2 linked regions of the Arabidopsis thaliana genome follow. The protein of the gene in region 1 interacts with the protein of each later gene in a pairwise test. Each region holds a gene or a part of one and is shown on either strand. Other genes may lie near its edges.

What was found. The genes of interacting proteins can lie anywhere in the genome.
Region 2: the proteins of AT3G18360 (region 1) and WRKY75 interact in a two-hybrid assay, tested with the Arabidopsis thaliana proteins (one large-scale study listed by BioGRID).

Annotation. Positions count from the first base shown.
Region 1 is NC_003074.8:6,299,781-6,303,884, forward strand, and holds AT3G18360 (VQ motif-containing protein), read right to left. Parts: upstream 2,033-4,104; 5' UTR 1,905-2,032; coding exon 1,047-1,904; 3' UTR 840-1,046; downstream 1-839. Other genes in the region: AT3G18350 (heat-inducible transcription repressor (DUF639)), read left to right, coding at 52-408, 490-720. UniProt on the Arabidopsis thaliana protein: May function as negative regulator of plant defense.
Region 2 is NC_003076.8:4,148,817-4,153,367, forward strand, and holds WRKY75 (WRKY DNA-binding protein 75), read right to left. Parts: upstream 2,386-4,551; 5' UTR 2,204-2,385; coding exon 1,944-2,203; intron 1,290-1,943; coding exon 1,112-1,289; 3' UTR 922-1,111; downstream 1-921. Other genes in the region: AT5G13070 (MSF1-like family protein), read left to right, coding at 1-246. UniProt on the Arabidopsis thaliana protein: Transcription factor. Interacts specifically with the W box (5'-(T)TGAC[CT]-3'), a frequently occurring elicitor-responsive cis-acting element.

The sequences.
Region 1 (4,104 bases):
TTTGTAACTGCGTTGTCTGAAACATTGAATTGCTTCTCTTTTCTTTGGCAGGAACTGATGCTTCCAATAATGGAAACCTGGAACTTAATTCTATCTGTGGTGTATTGGGATGATCCTACAAAGTCTAGTGTTTTCTGTCTCTTGACCACTTTCATAATTTGGAGGGGATGGCTTGTTTATGTCTTTGCTCTTGCGTCTCTCTTCTCTGCCATCTTCATGGTTCTCACAAGATGTTTCAGCAGAGAAAAGCTCATGATCGAGCTGAAAGTAACTGCTCCTCCTCCAATGAACACAATGGAACAGCTTTTGGCAGTCCAGAACGGGATCTCGGAGCTCGAACAGAACATTCAAGACGCAAACATCGTTCTTCTCAAGTTCCGAGCTTTATTATTCTCGCTTTTCCCTCAGGTCAGCCTTCCCTCTTATATTTAACACAAACTGCTTCTCCTAAAGCTGTGTCTAACCACAGTTTTGAAACCGCTATTTCAGGCGAGCCAGAAGTTTGCGATTGCGATTGTGGTCGCAGCGACGATGATGGCCTTTGTTCCGGGACGCTACTTGCTTTCGGTTGTATTTGTTGAGCTTTTCACAAGATACTCGCCACCAAGGAGAGCTAGCACGGAACGGTTAATAAGGCGGTTGAGAGAGTGGTGGTTTAGTATACCAGCGGCTCCAGTGGTCCTTCTACATGACAAGAACAATAAGAAGAAGAAGAACTAATTGGAGAGCGTCTATAGTTGCCACAGACGTACATATATACTTATAATCTATACATTTATGTATGTATGTATGTATGCAGTTTGTGTATGTATTAAGCTTAATTTCGGGAGCCAACTCTTGAATTCAATAAAATTTTACAAAAATAATGAATTTTTGAAATAAAAAAGATGATCACAGAAAAATTGTTTCGAGTATATAAAGTAATTAACTAAAGGAAAAATAACTATTAACTAATTTCAAAAATTATTAGTCCCTTTGAAGACCTCCTCCAATGAAGAAAAAACAAATTATTTTTCCAAAACCGGAAATAATTTACGCCGGATAACTTAAAAATCGCGAAACTCCGTCAAGCCATCGAAGCCAGAAGATGAAGAAGAAGAGAAAGAGCTTCTCATATTAGGCGCGAAGAAAAGCGGATCATCAAAATTCGCAAACGGTTGATTACCGCATAAGAAATTATCAGCTGGATTCGCCGGCGGGAAAATCGGAAATGTCGGTAAATAAGCACCGTAGTTTATCCCCGCAGCGTCGTACATAGACGGTGGCGGCGGAGGTGGAGGAGGATGAGGCGGTGGCTGTGGAGGAATAGCCACCGCTGAATACGGAAGAGAAGAATTAACCTGTCCATGTTCTCCGATGTTCTCCTCAGTTGTTATCACCGACGACGATTCACTATCTTCACTTATCATCGTGTTATTAAAAAATATCCCCTTTCCGTTTCCGGCACCGGAGTAGTTTCTAAGGTAATTATTACCGCCGCCGCAGCGATTGCGGTTGTTTTTTCTGTCGACGGTTGGTTCAGAGACGGTTCGGTTGATTGATTTTACCACCCCGGGATCGGTCATTGCGTTACCACCGCCGAGATCTTCGTCGGAGTGGGTCATTCCGGTGAGTTTTTGAACAAGAGCCATGAAATCTTTAGGATTAGTGTGTATGATTCTTGGAGTGTGTGTGTAAATGATCACCGGGTGACGAGGCTTAGCCGCGGAGGAGAAAGAAGACGGAGACGGTGGTTTTTTAATAACGTGAGAGTCTTTGTTGACTTTTAAAGTTGGCGGTGACGGTGAAGGTGAGGGAGTGTATAAGATTCCGGAGTTGTTTTCATTGGGTTCTCTCTTTGGATGGTGATGGTGATGGTGAGGGTGGTGGTGGTACGGATGGTTGTCCTTGTACGTTGAGCTCATTTCATGTGTAATAAAAAAAAGGGATTGTGACGTTTTTGAATTAAATGAATAAATGAATCATACATAAGTATAACCAAAAGTAAGTTTTCATTGAAAGTAAAACAGAATGACAAAATTGAGATCCATTTTGAAGATAGGGAGGAGAGGAGTGTTGCCTTTTATAAGCTTCAGTCTGTTACAGTGAGCCACGTGTAATCTGGTGAGTGTTCCAAGTAAGCACTTATTAGTGCCACGTAAGTATATCATGTGAATTAGTTTATGAGGCTGATAAGCAGTTAAGAGATTATCGCCACTAGGATTGCTAAAATCCAGGTTTAAACTTCTAGAGGTAAATCATTTCCTTGAGATAATTATGGATTATCACATACTAATTTCCATTTTTTGCTGTTTAGTTCTGTTATATCTGTAACTGTAATCGCGAAGAATTACATGGATTTTGCCGATTGAAACATTTGAATCGCAGTAATCTAGAAGTCTGAACCAATTAAACCGTACCACCATCAATACATTTTGAAATTTACAATGGTTTCTTCTTCTTCTTTCATTCCCCTTTATGGATCAACCCGACCGGATTCACTTCTTTCAATGAGTTTCTCTGATTTCGTTTGTTATTTCACTTGCATCATCCTTGATTAGCTTTATGTATATCGGATTAGGAGTTATAGAAGAAATGGTCATATAATTAATCATTCTTTTGCAGTACTTGGAGTTATCAGATTTTTGATTAATAGTTTTGTGGCATATGGTTCTCACTTCATTGGTGAATCGATGGATGTGCTTTATTTGTAGGATTACAATGAAATCGTCTGTTGCATTTAGGCCTTCACATAATTGATGCAACTTAAGACATGTACATTAGTACATAGTCAGATCACTTCAGGTAATGACTATTCTTTTGTTCAAAGCGTTATATATGTGTATTGCTTATTATGGTTAGGATTAGTACTTGAATCGAGAGTATCTTAAAATAAGTCTCTCTGTTTCTTCATGAGTGGCAGGAGGTCTTCATCTAGAGAGACCATTGAAAGAGTGGCTCCTAGAGCTTTGGCCAAGAAATTTTTAGAGCATATTTAGGAACTGAAGTGTGCAAGTTTTCTGATTGCACCTGAATTGTTTCAATGTACTCGAAACTCTTTACATATCCTTCACATTTTGGTGCATTCTCTTAGCGTTTGTCGTTTTTTGATAAATTTGCATTTGCAACAACCTTGCTTGTGTGCCAGATAGAAATTAATATCGTCAGGTGTCCTGATCTCGAGTTTGCTGAAAAGGTGATAGCCGCATTTGTTGATGTAAGAACAAAGGGGAACTTTGTTGGTGGTGTGTTATTACCTTCATTGTTCGGACTTTTGCTTGCTTATTGATTAATAATAAACTTATATGCAGGGGCTTTGGTACACCTGTTTTCAATAAACTCGAAGACTGAACTGGCAAAAGCATGTATGTCGTTGCCTGCAAACAAAAGGCTCTGAGTTTGGAAGTGGCTTTGCAGGTAGAGAGATCTATTTCACTTGTTTCAACTAATTTAATGCCCTCTTGGTGACAAAGTAAAGTTGTATGACAGATAATGAGCACAACAGAAAATTCTTTCAAAGACACTGTTGTTCTGGTGGAATACATAGAGAAATCTCAAATGGTGAGATAACAGACATGAGAATTGCCTCAAGCCAACATCTACAATAGGAGTAAGTTGTTGTTTGATCACATCTGAGATAAATGAAAACCCTCTTTATGCAGTTTGCTCTTGAGGAAACTGGTGACAATTGGGAAGGAAAATGCATAGCAGAGAAACAAACTGAGCGTCTTGAACTCAAATTATCAAATGCGGAAGCTAATCAGATTGATGAGAAAAAGAAAAAAAAAGGTGGTATATTGAGTTCAATCACTTGATCTACTATATTCTACCTGTGGTTTTTGGCTTGATGAGTACTATACCAGTCTACCTCTTACTAGCTAGGCATTATTTTTCAATCTTTTGTGTGTTTCACACAGGTAGAATATAAGACAGAATTCCTGTAGATGTCTATTTGGTAGACTCTGCATCGAGAAAGAGACGTTATGGCTGGTGATTCTGAAAGGGAACTTGTCTTTGAAGAAGACAGGAACTAAAGAATCATTCTAGTATCATTCCCTGCTGCTACTGTATGGATCTCTTTTTTATATACATTTATTTGCACAGCTTTAAGCTAAACAACAATCA
Region 2 (4,551 bases), on another chromosome or scaffold:
AGTCTCAAAAAGTTCATTGAAGTGGAGGAGAGGATAAGATATGATCCGCATCCAGATAATCCATCAGCCTGGACTGTTTGTAGCCAGGAGACAAGCATTCGGATCAAACCCTTGTCGGCTCTGGCCTCAATGGCTGAGAAGGTTGAACAGAAGTGCGCAGAGAAATTCATGCAGAATAGCGCTAAAGGAAGAGAGGTTATGGAGAGGATTTGTAAGTATATGGAAGCAGAATCCGCTCGGATCTAAAGATCAAAACTTCTTAGATTCCAGTATCTTCTTGGTTTGTGATTCTTGAATGTTTTGTAAGTCAAGAGAGCTACGTTTTTGGAGCATGGTTATAATAAGTTTATGAAACAGTTTAGATCAAATTGGTGTTTGTTTCAGTAACTCCTGTTTTGTGTTAGCAACTGAAAGTTGAATTGTGAAGCTTTTATCCAAATTTTTGAATCCAAATCCAAACGGTTTGCATCTTGATATTGATAATAAAGATTTCAGGCTCAATTACATACATTTACACGAAGATGGTTGGTTACATGCAAAAAAGACACTGGATTACTCAAGAACTGATGCGACGGTGCTGAAGAACAATGACTCTCTTGTCACTGTTTCAAGAGCATCATTGCTGATAGCAGAATTAACTAGCAAAATGGGTTTATTTTGTTACTGATTTAATTTTAAGAATTGTAAAGTCATTTTCTCCGTTGATATTTTTTACTTTCTTGTCACTTACCTAGCTAACTTTCAGATTCCCATACCTCATGTAGTTTTCTTACAACTTTCGGTGGGTAGTTAGAGACTATGACATATCTTATTAACGCCTAACCATTAGTATTACTATTTATCAGATAACCGTAATAATATGTTTAGCAACAGTTGTTTGAAATTTAATATGTGCATTATATGCTGCTATCAGTAATAGACTACACTCAATTTTTGAAATTTTTATTAAAAATTATTAGGATACAAACTTCAGCTGATCATCAGATCATGCATGGTTTTTCTTTTCAACACACGTAAAATGTAACATTCTAATTTTTGTAAATAATTTACAACATGAGCTCTAAGAATTATAGGCTCTAAAATAAGGTATAAAAGATTTTGAGAGAATTAACTAGAAAGAAGAGTAGATTTGCATTTGAGTGAGAATATGCTCGAAGTTTTCGGTGGATTTCTCGATGGGATGCGAATGCACTCCTTCGTAGGTTGTCACGACCACTTCTTGGTCCACTGTTAATCTTTGCACTTGCTTCTTCACATTGCATCCTCCATATGTACACCTATAGTAACTCCTGCACATTTATATATATAAACCATTAGTTATATTTCAAAACACTTCACTTCTCTATATGCAAATAACTGTTTTTGAATCTCTTAGAAGAGTAATTAACTGTCACATATATGTTCCCGAATCCAAATTATAAGAAGAAAAATGTCTACCAAAAGACTTTCATTTTTAATCGCTGATTGTTAGCTACATAGACTAGAAAAAAAAAAAATCAATATCCATATCCATATCCCAATCAATTAGTAAAGATCAATCTAGAATAAAATGTGAATAGGATATACATATATTCATCGAGTCTTTTAGAAGAGTAATTAATCATCAAATTTCTTCACAAAAGCACATTTCTATGATTTGTTGACCAAAAGTGTATTTATATTAAATATTGATTAATTATTAGATAGAGAAACAAATAGATCATGTATCTCGGCTAGCTATAGAAGATGAAAACGATAAATTAATCAAAACACATATTGCAGAATAGTTAAGATCAATCTAGGGCCGATGTGAATGATACATATACACATTAATTGGAGATTGATTCGAATTGGCTAAAGCATATATATGCATGTCTAACTCTTAACTCTTTCTTTATATGTTCGATAAAATATATAGCAATTGTAAGCAATGAATAAATAAGAAGGGAGAATTGAAGAAGAACCTAGGGAACTTGTTGTTCTTGACGGCCTTTTGGCCATATTTCCTCCATCGATAACCATCATCAAGAATATCCACTTGGCTCCTTGTTTGAAACGCATACCTTTGTTTCTTCCCCTTCTTTTTCGACGACTCCACGCTTTTCGAACAACCTTCTGATCTAACCTTTGAGCTCTCTTCTTCGCCTTGATGCAGCTCTGGTTTCGAATGAGATTTCAACGACAAAAAAGGAGCATACAACGACCCATTATCATATCCCTCCATATTCCTAATTATTTGTGGAATCTTGATTATAACAACGAGACAGACCGATCCACCTGAATTCCAAAAGAAGAAGAATTTTGTTCCTCTCTTTTTGTTTGATAATTGATTGGAGTTTGTTAAGATATCTTTGTGAAAACATAATAAAGTTTAGTCTAAAATATATAGACATATTTATGGTAGACTATGAAGTCAAAGACGAAGAGGCGGCCCTCTGCTAATCGTTAAAGAGGGGTAGTGTCGTAGACGACACGTAAGGATTAAACATTTTACATAATTACATTTGTAAGATAATGTTTTATGTACCCCTAATCTTATTTCTTAAAAGATATAGGCAATTTTCTCAAGATAGTTTACTGAGTTTTCACGAGTAATAATCAATTAAATGTATATATATATGGATAAGGATCAGATCTACACAAGAATGTATGCTATTGAGAGTGCTTTGAAACTGCGCATTAATAAAGATTTTGTAATAGATATTGCAAATTAGGAAGGAAAGACTTATTGGTGATCTGACGTAAGAATCAATTACTCACTCTGCTTTTCGCGATTCATTGAAGTAGAATAACCAAAAAAACGATGCATGCACCGACGTAGAACACAGAATTTTGGATTGTGGAAGATTATTACGAACGGACGAATGATCTCTCCAATGACGTCGTGTACGTGTTACGTTTTTCTTTTATCCGAACGTCATATGAGGTTTACGTTTTTTTTTTTGTCGAACGTCATCATTTTATCCGTGCATATAATAAATGCATACTTCTTTGAATTGATCAATCAAAGTCTTCAATGTTTGAATCCACACATATAAAATTGTTAGATTGGCTCTTAAACACACTACAAGTCGTTTTCGATATTTGTATATACAAATACGAGTTTATCCTTGGACCATCTAATTTATTGACTATTTACACACGTGGAAAAAAGAGAAGTAGTTTGAATCTGTTCTTCGTTCCATTGCTTTCTAAAACAAAGAATAAAGATGTTGATGTCGTTGTGGTGAGATACGGTTATAACTTAATATAATACCGATTCCATGATGAATAAATACAGTTTTTGATGGTTTTATTGAATAAATACCAAGATATAACTAATGACGTATATCGACACAATTGACAGAGAGATCATAAACATGATCACCACAGACGCAAACGATTCCGCAACTTTTTTGGCCAAAGATTCAAAACAATAGGCCCTTACTCAGTAAAGCTAAACTCTTTTAATTTTTATAATGATAACAACATTCATAGCAAAAAAAAAAAAGCTTAGGACGAGTATATTGCTACTTTTTTCTTCTTCATTGGCTTAATGAGAAGTAAAGTACTTTTCATGGTTTGTTTTCGGACGTCAGTGTATATTCATTCGTATGTAGTTGAGGAATTTTGGTCAAACTTTAAGTCCTTGTAGAAGGTAAACAAAGAGGCGCAAACGTGTTTGATGATTATTCTTCCGAGGTTTGAAGTTGAAACCATTTACCAATTATTAATCAATTTCAATTAGGAAAACAAAAGTAGCTCACCATTTACTGTTGTTAGTCCATGTTTGATTGACCATTCAAAAGCACAAAGTAAAAAGAAAAGGTTGGACAATTATCAAAGAGATCAAATGTTTGAATATTATATAACCCCTAAGAAAATTCTTGGAAGACGCACGTGTTCTTTTGCAATCTCACTTTTTTTCTTTCACATCTCGCAGCCTCTATATCTTTTTGGAAAAGAACATTAATGAAAAAAGTACTCAAGGGATGGGTGCTAAAAAAAAAGGGTTGGGTGCTTTGTAAGATTTGGGCCTGTTATGTGGGCCAATATTTGTTGTTAGGCTCAACAAGCCTTTGGCAGTTAAGTACAAGTTTATTTCTTGTTTTGGGTTGAGAATCAGAGTTTTTGGTGAGTGATTTAAGAACTAAGTCAAGGTTTGTGACAATTGACAAAGTAAGAACAGATTTGATTGGTAAAACAGGTAGCTTTGGGCCCAACAACAACAAGAAACTGATTAAAGTTTTGTTCAAGCCTTGGTTAAATTTGGCAATTTTGGTTTCCTATATAAACGTAACCAAATGTTTTGTTGCTTTACGTTGTAACACGGTAGTAGAAACAGAACTTTGATTTCATCTTCTTCATTTCTGGAGTCGTAAAAATAAATAAATGATAAAGCAGTTACAACGTAACTATTACTAATGAAACCACATAAACCAGTTAACAACACATCTATCTATAAATGGATAGATAAATAGAAGAATGAGACACACTCTCTCACTATGAGATGAGGATGGCTTAATCACAAGGCAAATATTTGTTGGCCCACTCTTCGAAACAGTCTACCTAATCCACAAACTTTGTTCCTAA